2 linked regions of the Lepisosteus oculatus genome follow. The protein of the gene in region 1 interacts with the protein of each later gene in a biochemical or structural test. Links are inferred from orthologs where the notes say so. Each region holds a gene or a part of one and is shown in the gene's direction. Other genes may lie near its edges.

Evidence for each region. The genes of interacting proteins can lie anywhere in the genome.
Region 2: of the proteins of uba1 (region 1) and ube2kb, one has a biochemical effect on the other in vitro, tested with the Homo sapiens proteins (9 studies listed by BioGRID, with this or other methods). The link is inferred for Lepisosteus oculatus from reciprocal best matches to the Homo sapiens genes UBA1 and UBE2K.

What each region holds. Positions count from the first base shown.
Region 1 is NC_090697.1:77,869,634-77,877,645, forward strand, and holds the start of uba1 (ubiquitin-like modifier-activating enzyme 1), read left to right. Parts: upstream 1-5,002; 5' UTR 5,003-5,172; intron 5,173-8,012. Other genes in the region: camkvl (caM kinase-like vesicle-associated, like), read left to right, coding at 1,707-2,783. UniProt on the Homo sapiens protein: Catalyzes the first step in ubiquitin conjugation to mark cellular proteins for degradation through the ubiquitin-proteasome system.
Region 2 is NC_090696.1:68,331,659-68,339,363, reverse strand, and holds the start of ube2kb (ubiquitin-conjugating enzyme E2Kb (UBC1 homolog, yeast)), read left to right. Parts: upstream 1-4,690; 5' UTR 4,691-4,785; coding exon 4,786-4,848; intron 4,849-7,705. UniProt on the Homo sapiens protein: Accepts ubiquitin from the E1 complex and catalyzes its covalent attachment to other proteins. In vitro, in the presence or in the absence of BRCA1-BARD1 E3 ubiquitin-protein ligase complex, catalyzes the synthesis of 'Lys-48'-linked polyubiquitin chains.

The sequences.
Region 1 (8,012 bases):
AGTGTTGGGAGGTGACACCTCCTGCAGCGACAGTGCAGGCAAGTGCAGAGAGTTGTGCTCGGCAGGTACAGCAGTGATGACCTCAGCGAAGGGACGAGTCACCCAGACAAGGAGCACAGAGCCGGGAGGAGACCCTTCTGGTCACCAGCAGTGATGGATAAAGACAGTAGAGCTCCCCTCTCCACAGCTGATGGAAAACTGAAAAAAGTGTCCTGCTTCATCCCTGCTCTCCAACACATCTAATGGGGTCTCCATGTGTTTGTGAAGGGAAACATACTTGGGATACATAATGGGTCTGCATTGTGTATCAGTATCTCTTCCTTTTGGTCTTGAAAGACAGAGAGAGCCCTGGAGCATTTTTGAAAACTCAGAGATGTTGACTGGAGAATCTGTAGACAGGGGGTACATCTGCACACACACAGACACACGAACACTCACAGACAGAGAGACAGACACACGAGCAATCACACACAGACACACGGACACTCACACACAAAGACAGTCACACGAACACTCACAGTCACACAGACACATGAAAACACACACACAGATACACAAACACTCACAGACACAACAGACAAACAAACACACAAACACTCACACGCAGATATTCTTGCACATGCATTCAAAGCTGGGGAGCCACACAGGAATCTCAAGCACATGTTCCTTCTCTTTGAAGACCAATGAGGTTCATCGCATCCATTATGTCCGCAGAGTGGCCAGTCACCCGAGCAGGGCATCGGCGCCACGGTCCAGCCCAGCCCAGCCTCCCGCAGTCTGGAGCTCCACGCTGATTACCTGCTTGATCACTGGAGTGACTCTGGGCCAATGGAGGCTGAGCTGCTCTCTGACCATGAGCCGTGTCTCTACGGCCACAGTCAGAGGTCCCATACTAACAGTGCCGGGAGCTGCCAGTTCAGCACGTTGTCACTCCAGCCAGCAGTGGGGGCACTGAGAGAAAAGTGTTCCCCTGATCAGACAGTCTCTTTGGCCCCTCCGCTCTGCAGAGAGCAGCTGGGCCATGCCTGCCCAGAGGAGGGTGTGGGCGGGTGGCCGGTGTCACCTGGCGCAGGCTGGTGTCCTGGCCAGATGTGGTCACAGCTGCACTCCTCTGCAGGGCAGGAGAAGGTCTGGACGAATCCTCTTATGGTGGAGCAGCTTCAGCTTTGCTGTTCAGGTGGTTTCTTTGCAGCTTCCTTGTCTCTGCCCATCGAAGTCCAACACTGTATGACATTGTGCCTTAACGTCATTTAGAAAAGTAGGAGATCACCCTTTAACCACAACATGCTCAGTCTTAGTAATGTTCACCTACTAACACGTGTCGGATTTGTCAGGACCTGTCTTCCTGCTCCATCTGGTTAATGAATTGCAATGCTGGCCAGTACTTTAGGACCAGACTACTGTGTCCGACCAGTACGTGTCTGTATAGACGTCCGGGTCAACTGGACCTCCTGCTCAGAACTGGCCGGCACTGACAGCCTGAAATCCAGCTGAGCTCTGCAGGGGCCCTGGCCACAAAGCGAGCAATTGTGTCCTCCTGGACATGCTCGTTTCAAGCAATTAATCTGGGGATTGAGCAGCTGAAATGTATTCTGAGGAGGTCGTTAAGACAATGGCTGTGGCTTTTAAGCCAGGCTGTTCTGGGGCCTCAGCTGGCTGTCCCCAGGCGGCGAGGTGGTCCTGTAACCTGCCTGTTGTCCCCACAGAAGGCCATCCGAGTGACCACCTTCATGCAGCGCCTGCGCGCCCCCGAGGCCGGCAGCGGGGGCGAGGGGGGGGCGCGCCTGGCCGTCACCCCCCGCACGTCCATGAGTGTTTCCCACAAGGTGACGGTGGAGAGCCGGCCGGAGCAGGCCGGGATTCCCAGCAGCCTGTCGGTGGGGGTCTCCCCGACCTCCACCACGGACCCCCTTCCTGCAGGCGATCTTGGGCTGCAGCCAGAGGGGGGGGCGGCCAGCGACAGCGCGGGGACGACGGCGGCCAGCCTGGGGCCGGACAAGCCCAGAGCGCCCCCCGACAAGCCCCCCCCTTCGCCCCGCGTCGAGACCAGGAGGGTCCCAGACCGCGGCACCAAGGTGATCGTACTGGAGCACCCGGCCAGCCCCGGGGAGACGAGGTCGGGGTGCCCCCCGGACACCCCCAACAGGCGCAAGATGGCAGCTGTCCTGCACCGCTCTGCGGACGACACCGCCTCCCCGGCGGACCCGGAGACGAGGGCCGGGGGGCCGGCAGCGCGCCGGGGGGCCGCGGGGGGAGGGGCCGGGGACACGCCCGGGCTCCGGCCGGAGAAGGGGGACCGGGGCGCCGGCGGGGGTGGGAGGAGAGCCGGCGCGGCGGAGAGCTGGTGCCAGACACAGCTGCCCGAGGCCGTGGCGGAGAGGAGGGGCGCAAGGGAGCCCCAGGACGGGAGCCCCGGACGCAGGGACCCCGGCGCGGCCAGGGGCTCCCCGGGCGCGGCGCACCGCAAGACCGTGCCCGTCCAGGGGCAGCGCGAGGCCGCCGGCGACTGGCACATGGACAGCGTGATCGAGCAGATCGAGAAGCAGATGGCCGCAGTGCTGGAGAAGATCGAGGGCGACATGCCTTCCCTGCTGGAGCAAATCAGCGACCGGCCCTCCCCAGCGCGCGCCCCCCTGGCCCCCGCCACGCGCCCCAGCCTGCCCCCCTTCCCCCACCTCACCATCCCGCCCTGCACAGCCCCCCCGCCCCCCCCGCCGGAGCCGGAGCCAGGAGAGCAGCCGGAGGGTGAGGCCGGACCCGGCCAGTCGCAGAGAGGCTTGTGATCCAGCACACAGGGAAGCACTCTGGGAAATGCCACTCATGGCGATATACGGATACACTATTTTTCTTCTCTGTCTCCTGTTTTGTGTTTGCCCTTCTGAAGGTGTTCCTGCCCCTCCCTGTGCCTCTCCCGCCCGGCGGCCCAGCATGCCCCTCTGCGCTCCGCTGTGTTCTCTCCCACCCCAGCGGCACACCTGTTCTCTGACAATTTTTTGCATCTGTCAGCAGTTCTTTCAATAAAACTCTCAAGCAAAGCGCTGTGACAGTCTTCCCTTCCTGTCTGTGTGCGTGTCTGCGTCGCTGTCCGCCGGCCAGATGAATCCCGCTGGCCAGCGCAGGTCAGTCTCCGGGCTGGAGCTGCTCACCTCTGACCCCACGCACCCCGGTTTCTGTCCCAGTGGACACCCAGCTCCAGGCTCAGGCTCTGCCCCAGCCTGTCCCATTTCCCTGTGTGGACAGAGGAGAGACCGGGGGCCTGTCAGTCAGCTGAAAGGGCGGGTCCCTCAGCACTCAGGCAGGTGGGACTCGGGGTGCCAGCAGTGACTAGGCCGACAGCAGTCTCGTGAAGGACAGGTGAGGAAGCACCTCTTGTGCAGAGTACTGACGCCACAGAAGTCCGATCGCACACACTCGCTGATCCCGATACAGTAAAGGCAGAGGAAAACACACGCTGGATTATTTACAGTAACGCCTGGCTATGCACTTTCCTGCACAGCCAGTGTGGGACACTCCGTTCAGACTAAAGAGACTCAGTTCCTGTAGCCTGTCAGTGTGGGACACTCAGCAGACTAAAGAAACTCAGTCCCTCCAGCCTCTCAGTGTGGGACAATCCCTTCAGACTAAAGAGACTCAGTCCCTCCAGCCTGTCAGTGTGGGACAGTCCCTTCAGACTAAAGAGACTCAGTCCCTCCAGCCTGTCAGAGTAGGACACTTACTTCAGACTAAAGAGACTCTGTTCCTGCAGCCTCTCAGCAGCCATATCACCCTGCAGCTCAGAACTGGGAGCCTACTGGAGCCCAGCAGGTGTGAGCCTGGTCAGTATCTGGATGGGAGATCTCCTGGGAAAAACTAAGGTTGCTGCTGGAAGAGGTGTTAGTGGGGCCAGCAGGGGGCGCTCACCCTGTGGTCAGTGTGGGCCCTAATGCTCCACTATAGTCATGGGGACACTATACTGTAAAAAGGCCATCTCTGAACTGGCTTCACCACTCTGCTCTGCTCATCACCGATAGCTGGTGTGTGGGGAACGTACTGGTGCACTCTGGCTGCTGTCACATCATCCAGGTGGGGGTGGAGGGGATCCCCATTACCTGTAAAGCGCTTTGAGTTGAGTGTCCAGAGATGTGCTATGTAAGTGTGATGAAGCCAGTTCAGAAATGGGGATTATTAGAAGGCCATGATTGGTGAGGGCCAATGGGAAATTAGTCCAGGACACCAGGGTAACACCCCTACTCTTTTTGAGAAACACTTGGGATTTTTAATGACCACAGAGAGTTAGGACCTCAGTTTTATGTCTTATCTGAAGAATGGCACCTTTTTATAGTATAGTGTCCCCATCACTATACTGGGGCATTAGGACCCACTCAGACCGCAGGGTGAGCGCCCCCTGCTGGCCCCACTAACACATCTTCCAGCAGCAGGAGTTTGTCCCAGGAGGTCTCCCATCCAGGTACTGACCTGCTGGGCTCCAGTGGGCTCCCAGGTGTGAGTTGCTGGGTGACATAGCTGCACACTCATGCAACTAATTTGCGCTATTAGCCAAGGTGCGCGGGAGCTCGTGTCTGAGGCGGTTCGCGTGTGCTGGCCGGCAGGACCGCGTGCCTCCGCCTGGACCCTCCACGATGACATTCTGAAACCGTTACCTCACATTTCAAATCTGCGCTTCAACATGACCGTCGGCACCAACAGACCGGCTCGCCACCGGGCAGCAGAGCCGGACTACAACTCCCAGCAGCCTGCGCGGCAGCGCTCGGACCGGGAGGACCCAAGCCATGCGAACAGAAGGGGGGGCGAGAGTCCTAGTTGTGTAAATAATTTTAGAGCTCCCACCAGTATTATGGAGAAATACACAGAAAGTCACTAAACTTTAAGACTGTGTTAAAGTCTTTGATTCCGTACAATGTGAGTCTTGTACGCCGTCGTGCGTAAATGTATTTTTCTCTGTTTCTCCCCCATCTCAAGATGGTGGCGCGGCCCCCCGTCGGAGCCCCTCTGTCCGCACATGTTGCTTTATTCTCGCTGCGCTGCTGGGAACCGGCGAGCCGCCTGTCTCTTCCCGTGTGAGAAGCCACCGAGCTCCCGCCTTCGCCGTCAGCTCCCACGGGGGGTTCTCTCTGTCTGCTCGCCCTTTCGATTTTAAACACCGAGGAGCAGGTCTTAGCAAGATCGGATGTGGTGAGTGCGACGCCTGCTCGCGTTGGACCCCGGGCCGGGGGCCGGGAAGACAAAGCTGAACCGTGCTGGCAGGTTTGGGGGCGAGGGGGGATGGGGAGCGCGGGGAGTGAGGGCGAAGGGCTGAGGGTGTTATTTATGCACTGGGTGTTCCTGCCCGACCCGGTGCTGCCTGCTGCCGGAGCCGAGGATGGAGCTCAAGTTGCTGCCCAAGTTTCGGAGCTGCTCGCCACCCCGGCGCCCGGCCACCTGTGCGGCGGGCAGTGTCCGGGCCGAGGGGGCCGGGGCAGGGGCCGGGGAGGGAGCCGGCGTCCCAGCCGGGGCCGGGCGAGCCCCAGGCCGCAGGGAGAGGGGTCCGAGCCGGGGGGAGGCGCCCGGCTGGGCCTTTCATTGTTGTGTAGCGGTTCCCGGTCTGCACGGCGGATCTGAGCGCCAGCCCGCAGACTTGCAGCCCACGTCTGCTTTGTTTGTGCTGCCCGAGGTCGCGGTCCCTGCTCCACGGGTGCAGTGTTTTCCCGGGTGGCTGGGCTCCCCACGAGTGGACGTGGGCTGTCATGACGTGCCTCTCGCTACGGGTTCTCGTGCAGGAGGGGCGACGCAGCTCCCTGCTCAAGTGCGTCAACATACTCTTTTCCCTTCATCCTCTCTAAACACACTGTACCTCAGCTCTAACCACTAGCCCACACTGCCTCCCTCTCTCTCCCCCAGTGCCTCAGCTCTAACCACTAGCCCACACTGCCTCCCTCTCTCTCTCTCAGTGCCTCAGCTCTAACCACTAGCCCACACTGCCTCCCTCTCTCTCTCTCTCTCCCAGTGCCTCAGCTCTAACCACTAGCCCACACTGCCTCTCTCCCTCCCAGTGCTTCGGCTCTAACCACTAGCCCACACTGCCTCCCTCTCTCTCTCCCAGTGCCTCGGCTCTAACCACTAGCCCACACTGCCTCCCTCTCTCTCCCCCAGTGCCTCGGCTCTAACCACTAGCCCACACTGCCTCCCTCTGTCTCTCTTTCCCCCAGTGCCTCAGCTCTAACCACTAGCCCACACTGCCTCCCTCTCTCTGTCCCAGTGCCTCGGCTCTAACCACTAGCCCACACTGCCTCCCTCTCTCTGTCCCAGTGCCTCAGCTCTAACCACTAGCCCACACTGCCTCCCTCTCTCTCTCTCCCAGTGCCTCAGCTCTAACCACTAGCCCACACTGCCTCCCTCTCTCTCTCTCCCAGTGCCTCAGCTCTAACCACTAGCACACACTGCCTCTCTCTCTCTCTGTCCCAGTCCCTCAGCTCTAACCACTAGCCCACACTGCCTCTCTCTCTCTCTGTCCCAGTCCCTCAGCTCTAACCACTAGCCCACACTGCCTCCCTCTCTCTCTCTCCCAGTGCCTCAGCTCTAACCACTAGCCCACACTGCCTCCCTCTCTCTCTCTCCCAGTGCCTCAGCTCTAGCCACTAGCTCACACTGCCTCCCTCTCTCTCTCCCAATCCCTCAGCTCTATCCACTAGCCCACACTGCCTCCCTCCCCAAGGCCTCAGCCCTCACCAGTGGGACGTGTTCAGAGTGGGTTGGACAGAGCTTTTGGACATCAGCCTGTGGCCGTGATTGTGGGCAGCAAGACAGAACCTGATCAGTGAATTTGATTGTTTGTGTACGGCGAGTGACATGCAGCTCAGTCCCTGGTGTAGTTGAATAGCAGTGCAGTTAGGAGGACCAGGTCTGTCAGGGTTACAGTCGCTGGTCCTGGTGTTTGTGTTCTGTGGGCTCTGCTGCTGGCTGTCTTGACCTGCTGATGAACAGAAACAGCACGCCGAGTCCAGGAGAGGGGCAGTGGTATGAGAGCAGCCCGGTCCGGGGCTCGCTGGCTCCACCGAGCCGGTTCTACATGACTGTTTCAGGGCCCCAGGGGGAGCGAGATGATGATGATGATGATGTTGGGGTTGAGGAAGGGTGTCACCCTGTGATTGATGACTGTGTTGTTGATGACCATATCTGTGGTTACTCAGTGGAGTTCTGGGTCACACTGTTTCTGGCTAAAGACTGTGGACGGTATATTTACACCGACACGCTTGGGACATCTTGCCAAACTGCTGGAGAGTGCCTTCTCCTACGGTAATGGACTTGGAACCATTTATTAATGAGATGGGCCAGGTGGGCCTGGTCGCTTACTGAGTGAAGAGACGGCCCTGAGGATCCCAGCGGAGCTCCTGGCTGGGCTTCATCCCAACTGGCAACATAAGGCATCCAGCAGCCTGACAACTCCCCTGCGGGCTCTGGGGGGTGAGTCTCCAGGGGTGTCCAGTCCAGGTCCTGAGGGGCCGGTCAGTGTGCCTGCTCCAGGGGTGTCCAGTCCTGGTCCTGGGGGGCCGGTCAGTGTGTCTGCAGGTCCCTTTAAAGAGCAGCTGGGAGAATCTGTCACATTGGTCCAGTAGGTCTAGTAACCAGCTGGCTTGGAATGAGAACCGACCCCACCAGGACCGGACTGGCCACACTGCTGAGACACTGACCCCACCAGGACCGGACTGGCCACACTGCTGACACACTGACCCCACCAGGACCGGACTGGCCACACTGCTGACACACTGACCCCACCAGGACCGGACTGGCCACACTGCTGAGACACTGACCCCACCAGGACCGGACTGGCCACACTGCTGAGACACTGACCCCACCAGGACCGGACTGGCCACACTGCTGACACTGACCCCACCAGGACCGGACTGGCCACACTGCTGACACTGACCCCACCAGGACCGGACTGGCCACACTGCTGAGACACTGACCCCACCAGGACCGGACTGGCCACACTGCTGACACACTGACCCCACCAGGACCGGACTGGCCACACTGCT
Region 2 (7,705 bases), on another chromosome or scaffold:
AAAGCCCCGACAGTAACCCAAGCGTCCGGTCTGCGTATTTTTAGCTGTCTGTTGACCTGCAAGTGGCGTCTCGCACGGCCTCGTAACGCTGAGCATAGCCGCTGATGCGTAGATTAAAGATCCGTTGGTCCTACAGATACAGATGTGCAGGCGCTGGAGGCTTGGGTGGCGCTGAGGGATGCAAATATTTGCTCTCCTTCTCACAGGGTGCTTTTATTCAAATAAAGTATCTTAAAAAGGTGGAATTTTTTTAAAAAAAACCCACACGTAACAGTTAAGTTCTTTTACGTGTCTTGCTGATACGAGGACGAAACGTGTAAAGAAAAATCGCGGAGGCTGAATTATTACAGAGCATTGCGGATCGGCACGTATTGGGCCACTGAGACCTGCAGTACCAGTACTGCTACTTTGTGATCAATCCTTTTTACATTTTCTTGTAGCGTGTTATTATGAAGAATATGGTAATGACGCTTACCAATCACTTAATATCGAAATTCTAACAAAGCTTCATTCATTGTGTTTTTTTTTTCAAATTGTTCCAAGTATGACGATGAACTTGACAGAAGACATTGTCACATGCTTCATCTTTCCGGAATTGCTTTGCATACTTGTGAGGAAACACCTTTCTGAGCAGGTGCTTTTGTTTTTAAATTTTGACAAACGAAAATGAGGACAGAGGAACAGAGACAGTAGTCGTAGCGACCCCCCGCCCCCCCCGGAGGTATTTAGTTAAAATCTGACTGAGACCTTGCAAATTAATTATTGGCTGGAGTTTTCAATCTGGATTACTTAAAATTCCTCATGACCAGAGGGTTCTCAGGCAACCATTTTAAAAGTACAGTAGCGTCTGTACATCCTCCGGATGAGACGTAAAACCGAGGTCCTGACTCTCTGTGGTCATTAAAAATCCCAGAGCGTTTCTCGAAAAGAGTAGGGATGTAACCCCGGCGTCCTGGCCAAATTTCCCATTGGCCCTTACCAATCATGGCCTCGTAATAATCCCCCTCTGTGAATTGGCTTCATTACTCGGCTCTCCTCCCCACTGATAGCTGGTGTGTGGTGAGCGTTCTGGCGCACTATGGCTGCCGTCGCATCATCCAGGTGGATGTTGCACATTGGTGGTGGTGGAGGGGATCCCCATTACCTGTAAAGCGCTTTGAGTGGAGTGTCCAGAAAAACACTATATAAGTTTAAGCAATTATTATTATTATTATTATTATTATTATTATAAATAGAGAGAAGACAGGAAGACGTATGAATGTATGACACTGAAAAGCAAAATAAAAACAAAGTGGATAATTTGGGAAATCTGAATAAAAAACATAAGTTTAATGCAGCGATCTTTCATTGGTCAAGACCTCTGTGAGTCACCTCTGCGGGGATAATAAAATAAGATCCATCAAGCCATTCTTTTGCAGGATTTTAGCTCATGCAGCCTTTTTATTATTTATTGCAGGTCACATACAATTGAGAAGCTGGTGTGGCACAGGTCCATAGCCCCTTCGGGCTTATTAGTCAAAGAGAAGAAGGTTGGACAGTGAAAAGGAACACTTTTTCTCTTGCCAGCATTGTCCTAGTGTTTAAAGTCTTGTTTTTGGCTGGGCTTCTCCATGATCTTCAAGTTGTTGCAAGTTCTGCTCAGGGCCGTGTCCCAGCCAGCTGTGACATAAGAGATCACTTTGATGGCCAAATACATTTTCTTATATTATGAATTTGTCTTTTCACATACCTCAGCTTGAACATACTGTACCTCTTCATGCGACACACAGACAGGGAGAGAAGCTTGGGGTCAGAGCACAGAGTCAGCCATTTATGTAGGTTTAAGATAAGATTTTTATTTATTATTATTCCCCTGAGGGACATTTTTTATTTAAGCTCTTTTTCTCCACTTGACTTGCTTTTTCCATAATTTTTGGTTTTCCTGACCTGTCATTCCAGAGAAAAGTATGGCATGTTATTTTCTGTGCTTCCTCACCGAATGAACTTGCATGCACATCTCCATTCACCCTAAACAACTAGGGAAGGGGGGGATGAAATTCAATAGAGCTGGTATCCCAATATGTAATCTCCTGTCACAGTCTGAGGAACTAAGAGAAAGTTTCAATACAATATTATATCATTGTCCGGAATGTGTGTTAATGTTTACTAATTGATATTGCTTGGCAGCAGGGCATTTCAAAAGTCACACCAATAAAGTTATTTGAATGTGACATTAACAAAATAAGAGTATAGTATTTACAGCTGAAACTCCAGAGCTGTTAGGTGGATGGTTTCACTCTCACCACAGGTGCAACAGCTGTATATAAGTATATGTATGTATGTATAAGTTAATTTGAAGTAGAAAAATTTGATGCCCATTGTATTGTCTAAACAGGGGTGATGCAACTTTCCTAAGCTGCAATCTGGTTTTTAAAATACAGACTAAGCAACAGGGACTTAAATGGTAGTAACTGTTTTAAAGAGAAAATAATATAAAACACAAAAACAGGTGTATATGGACTCGAGCCACTTTCCAAACGAGTCACTTTGTCAAAGTTTGGGTTTTCAAGGTGTACTTTGAAATTCTTTGTGAATATTACAGAGTTGACTCAGATGAAGCAAGGTGAATTCAGGGGCCAAGATGGTGTTGTGAGAAATCAACATTTGTTCTTTTCACATTTAGTATGGAGCTATAATGTACATGTAAATATGGAGGCATTACTGCTGACTTGGCTTCTGTGAGATAACCATGAGATCGTTAACAAGCCTTTTTCTTCTGCAATGAGGAAGTATGCCTGCAGTTCAGACTGCAGCTTTCGCTTAAAACATGACCTGCATAGACCCACACATGCAAATAAGTGCCGGCTTTGCATAGGAGACTAGTTTCCCCGACTCTATGTTTAAAAAAAAAGCTGATTTTGATTCTGGAATTTAAACTTTTAAATTCCAAAATAATTCTCAAAGGAATTGCTCTTCCGTGTTTTTTTTTTTTTGAGCCGTTAAGGAGACACAACAGCAAATCCTTTTTTTCGTGAGTAACAGAAACAATCTAAAGAGCGGAACTTTTGGGGTCTCCCCAAAGCCCCTGTGGACATATTCTTGGGCCTCCTCCTCGTAATCATGATCTTTTCAACTTTACATTCAATCAAAGGAGTTTAGTGTGGGTCCAATGCAGCACTCAAATGATATCATTGCCATCTGACCAGACATACTCTTTATTAAGTGTAATAATTCGGGCTCTGACAGGGAATGTCAGCATCCAAAGCGAAGCTCTCACACAAAACCTTAGGAACAAAACAGAAAGATGTTAGCTTTTTCTGTAACATTGTTAAATAATGATCATTGTTTGCATGTCGCTTTTGTGAATCATATCTTGTGTGCAGCGTGGAGACTATTCTGGATTCCTCTGTGATTAACTTTGGATTGGGCCGTACTTGTGTAGCATTGTTAAAGGGTTTGAACTTCAGGGCTATTCTGTCACATTCTGTATGCTCATATGAAATTTTCAGGATACAATAAATAAATATGGCGCTCGGGGTTGTATTATTGGCAACTGTCTTCTCGGTGGTTCTCTCTTACTTGCCCTGCTGTACTCTTTGTTATCCATTTTGTGTTGTGTATCAGTACTGCACAAGGTCAAAAGGTCAGTGCTTCACTGATGGACTGCTGAATATGCTGCACCACTAATCTCTAGCCCATTGTTACTTCCTGGAGGCCTAGATTTCAGAGAGATGTTTTGGGGAGTAGTTTGGAGTGGTTATTCGGAGTGGTAAAAACAGCAATCTAGAATTGTTCTATGTAGACCTAATGAGACATGAATTAAGTCTGAGGTAGTTAGCAGTATTTCTGTTTTTTTTTTATCCAGTCATAAACGTTATTCAGTTATAGTATTGGAACTCTTCTTAGGTACTTAATTGAACCACGGTTCTGACAAATATGAGTCACATTGATTATGTTTTTGCTTTATGACACTTTAAAACTGGATCTTGTCACATGTCAGAAGCTAAGCAAGACTTGGCCTCGTCAGTAAAAGGAAAATTAGATGGCTGACAGAACTTGTTTTGGTACATCAGTAGGTGGCACTCTTCCCTATTAGATGAGAGGGCAAGGTGCTGTAAAGATCGAAATCTTTCAAATGAGACTTTTCATAGGCCCCTCTGTACTTGTCACATTAACATTTCGTACAGCACTTTTTTACAACTAAAATGGTCCCGCGTTCCTCCGTTTGTAGTACATATTGCCACACACTCGGTTAATCATTCGGCAAAAATATCGTTCACTGAATTTCATGTTCGTGTATGTAGTGGGTGGAAACGTAGATAAAATGTAAATAAAATACAAATATAAAAAGCACAAAATTAAATATGTGCAAAAGATGGGCCCTATCTCGAACATCACACCTGGAAGGAAAAAAACAAATCGATTACAAAAATAAGCTAAGCAGGTTATGCTCCAGCACCTATTTCAGTTGAGTAGTGACATTATTATAATAAAACGCCTAGCTTTGACTGTGTAGCCCCGGAATGGGAAAACGCCATTAAGCAGAGCTCCTCTCCTCGGAATCCGTAAAAACATGACACATATTACATCTCAGAATACCTAGCATATCCCTGAAGGAAGTTGTTTTATTCCAGTTTGTAACATATTGTTCTTTTGGCACAGTGCGCAGACTCCGCGGATCGCCATTTGTGTGCGGGTAGGGGGGGGGGGTGTCTGTTTTTGTTGTAAAAAAAAAAGAGGAGCAGAGCGACGCTGCAGCTGTAGGCCTGTATCAGCAAACAGCGACAGAGAGGAGACGGCAAAGCCATGGCCAACATCGCAGTGCAGAGGATCAAACGAGAGTTCAAAGAGGTCCTTAAAAGCGAAGAGGTTAGCCATTCTTGCTTCTCTGAACGCTTGAGCCACGTACACGACACTCAGATAAGAAAAAAATAGAGAGTAATTTAACAGTTGAAAAAGGGCTACCGAGGCCCCGGGAAGGGGAAGTTAATGTCATCCCGACCGGGGCCGTCCAGAGGGGGCAGCTCCTAGGGCTGACGGAGACGGCCGGGGAGGGGTTCAGGAAATACCGGGGATCAGGAAGGAGGTTAGGCCGAGTGCAGGGAGTAAAATTAAAAATAAGAGCCCAGTCAGTGGGATTGGACTTCCCTGTGTTTGTGAAAGCCTTTTCGCTTATACGGTATAGTGGTTTTTTAAAAAAAATAAAAATTCCAGTGTGACGGGGGTAGTGGATTTTGTAAACTAAGCCAAAGTGACATGCTTCCTCTCTCGGTTTCGGGGGAAAAAAAGATGTCCTGGATCACTTTGTAGAAATTCAGGTTGGCGTGAAAGGGGAGCGTGGTCCTGCACCAGAACTCAAAATGTGGCTGTCATTAAGACGGGAGCTCCATTTCTGTCCCAGTTAACTACCCGATCGTGATCTCCAATCCTGATCCGGTTCTGGACAAACCCACATCCTCACTGCCACAAAGTTATGTAACAAAGCGGACGAATCCAGCGATCGCGAAGCGGCTTCCTTAGCTAAACACAGAAGCTGGTTCCTTTATTGTGGTTATCGGGGATTTTTTACGAAGCTCATCGATATTGGGTTTGAATGTTGAGAAAGCACGATCGTAAAGACTGTAACAGCTGTTGCAGAGGTGTCATCCCTTTCTCATTCACACATTTTGAACTGCAGCTCTGCCGACAACGCCATGTGTGTTGAGTGCATACAGACGTATTGAAAGTAGAGCACAGAGAAGGGGCCTGTCTCACTGTACGGATCAGGCACTCAGCATCATTGTGCTACCCTGAACACGTTATTAATCAGCCTGAACCTTTTCGTACTACCGTTTTATTACCGCCGGTTATTTCTCCGCTGTTTCAGTGCGTATAAAGATTTGCGTCCTCCTTTTGTTAGGGAGAGAAGAGCTTTGAGACTTCAATGTCAGAATATGCTTCCGTATCATGTAAAAAAATATCTTCTTATGAATCGAAATCCAGCTATCCAATATCCATCTTTTATTGTCTGAAGTCAGCAGCCACTGTTTGGAGAATAATTTGTTTTACAGCCTGAAACATTGTCGCCTCAGTTATGGTGCATCTGAGAGTCACCATTCTACAAATCATAGACATTTTAAAAGTGTCTTGCTTTATGATTGAATGTACTTCTGTAATAAAGCTAAATGAAAGCTGAGCCACCGCAAGGTAGTGCATTTCTTTAGACTCGAGGTAAAACTGTACGTCAGTGATTCCACCTCAACCTGCTCGGTAAGAATCTAAAATGAATCCTTAAGCAATTAATAAGTTTAATAAGGCAGCGATGCAGAGCAGTGGTCTGGGCTCTGGGTTCAAGACTGGAAGGATGCTGTTGTATCTTTGAGCAAAGGTACTTGATTGAAGTTGCTGCAGTAAATGCAGTGTAAATGATGCAGTATTATTGAGTCTCGAGGTCATGATTGTACAGGACTGAGAATGAAAAGTTAAAAAGAAGCTAGAATTCTGCAGCTTTTGTGTGTCTGCTCCAATTCAGATTCAGACTACAATCCTCGATAGACATGAATCTGCAGACGTGTCATAAATTCTTATCCACATACTGTATGAATGGTGCTGTTGAAATGAGACGTGTGTTAAGCTATTATACCATGTTTTGAGCATCTTTGCTAAAGGTGTGCCATTGTGCTACCACGTGTCCTGTCAGTGTTGTTGCCTGGGTCTCCTGTTCTACCTCAGGAAGACTCAGTTCAGGCAGAAGACATTTGAAGTCCCAGATGTGGCACTTCGGGATTTCAAGATTGGGAAAAAAACAACCCGAGAAAGAATTCCTGTCGTTTCCCACATTTGGAATACTTGAGCTAGCTCGTGATATTGAACACTTTTATACTTAAGCAGGGTCTTCGAGACAACAGAGGTATGACTGCCGAAGTTTCCTTGTGTTAAGGGGCGTTGAGCATACTCCTGCTTTTCTCCGTTCCGCCATTTGTTAGAGGAGATGTCCCAGGATACCAGTGGACGTTCTGCGGACAGTCTGTTCTTCTTTTATTAGTGTAGTAGGAAGAGATGAAATTCCGCACTGCAGAACATTAAAAGTACACGACATTTGTTCCCCAAAGACAAGTGTGTAGACCCTCTCAGTTTGAACAAATCCCGAAATCGGGCTCCGAAATCATGTTTTCCGAATCTTTCCCTGGTTAACTACCCTTTCTACCCCTCAGTGCTGACTGGCAATTTGAGCCAGTCATGCTAATTAGTGTACTGTGCTGTTTAATTGTAAGGTTGTTACAGTCAGATTTCAGTCTTTTGCAACGTTTGTCTCTTTGATGTTATGAAGCTAGGCTGGGTGGCTGTGAACTTCACCCAACAGCACACCACTGTCACGTTTCAGAAGAGAACTAAATCTTTTGGTGATAACTGCTGTATGTTCATTCTTATTGGTTCAGCCCTTCCCTTGACCAAGAGCAATATCTGTTGCCATCTCTTTCAGTCTTTCTTCTCTTGATTTTCTGGCTCATCACAATTGCACTTATTTACATCTTCCACATGTTGCGGTATTGTGTTACTTAAAATATTTTACCCCGTCCCATAATTCTAACCGGAATTTGTTTTTAATCTCCTCTGGTATAGGTTCTCTGGCCGTTGCTTGTGTTTTTCCTTTAGTGTGCTTCCTGACAATGTACTGTATTGTGTAATAACAGTCAAAAGGAGAGATGCAGATTTTGTTGGGTGTTAGGTATATCTAACAAGATTG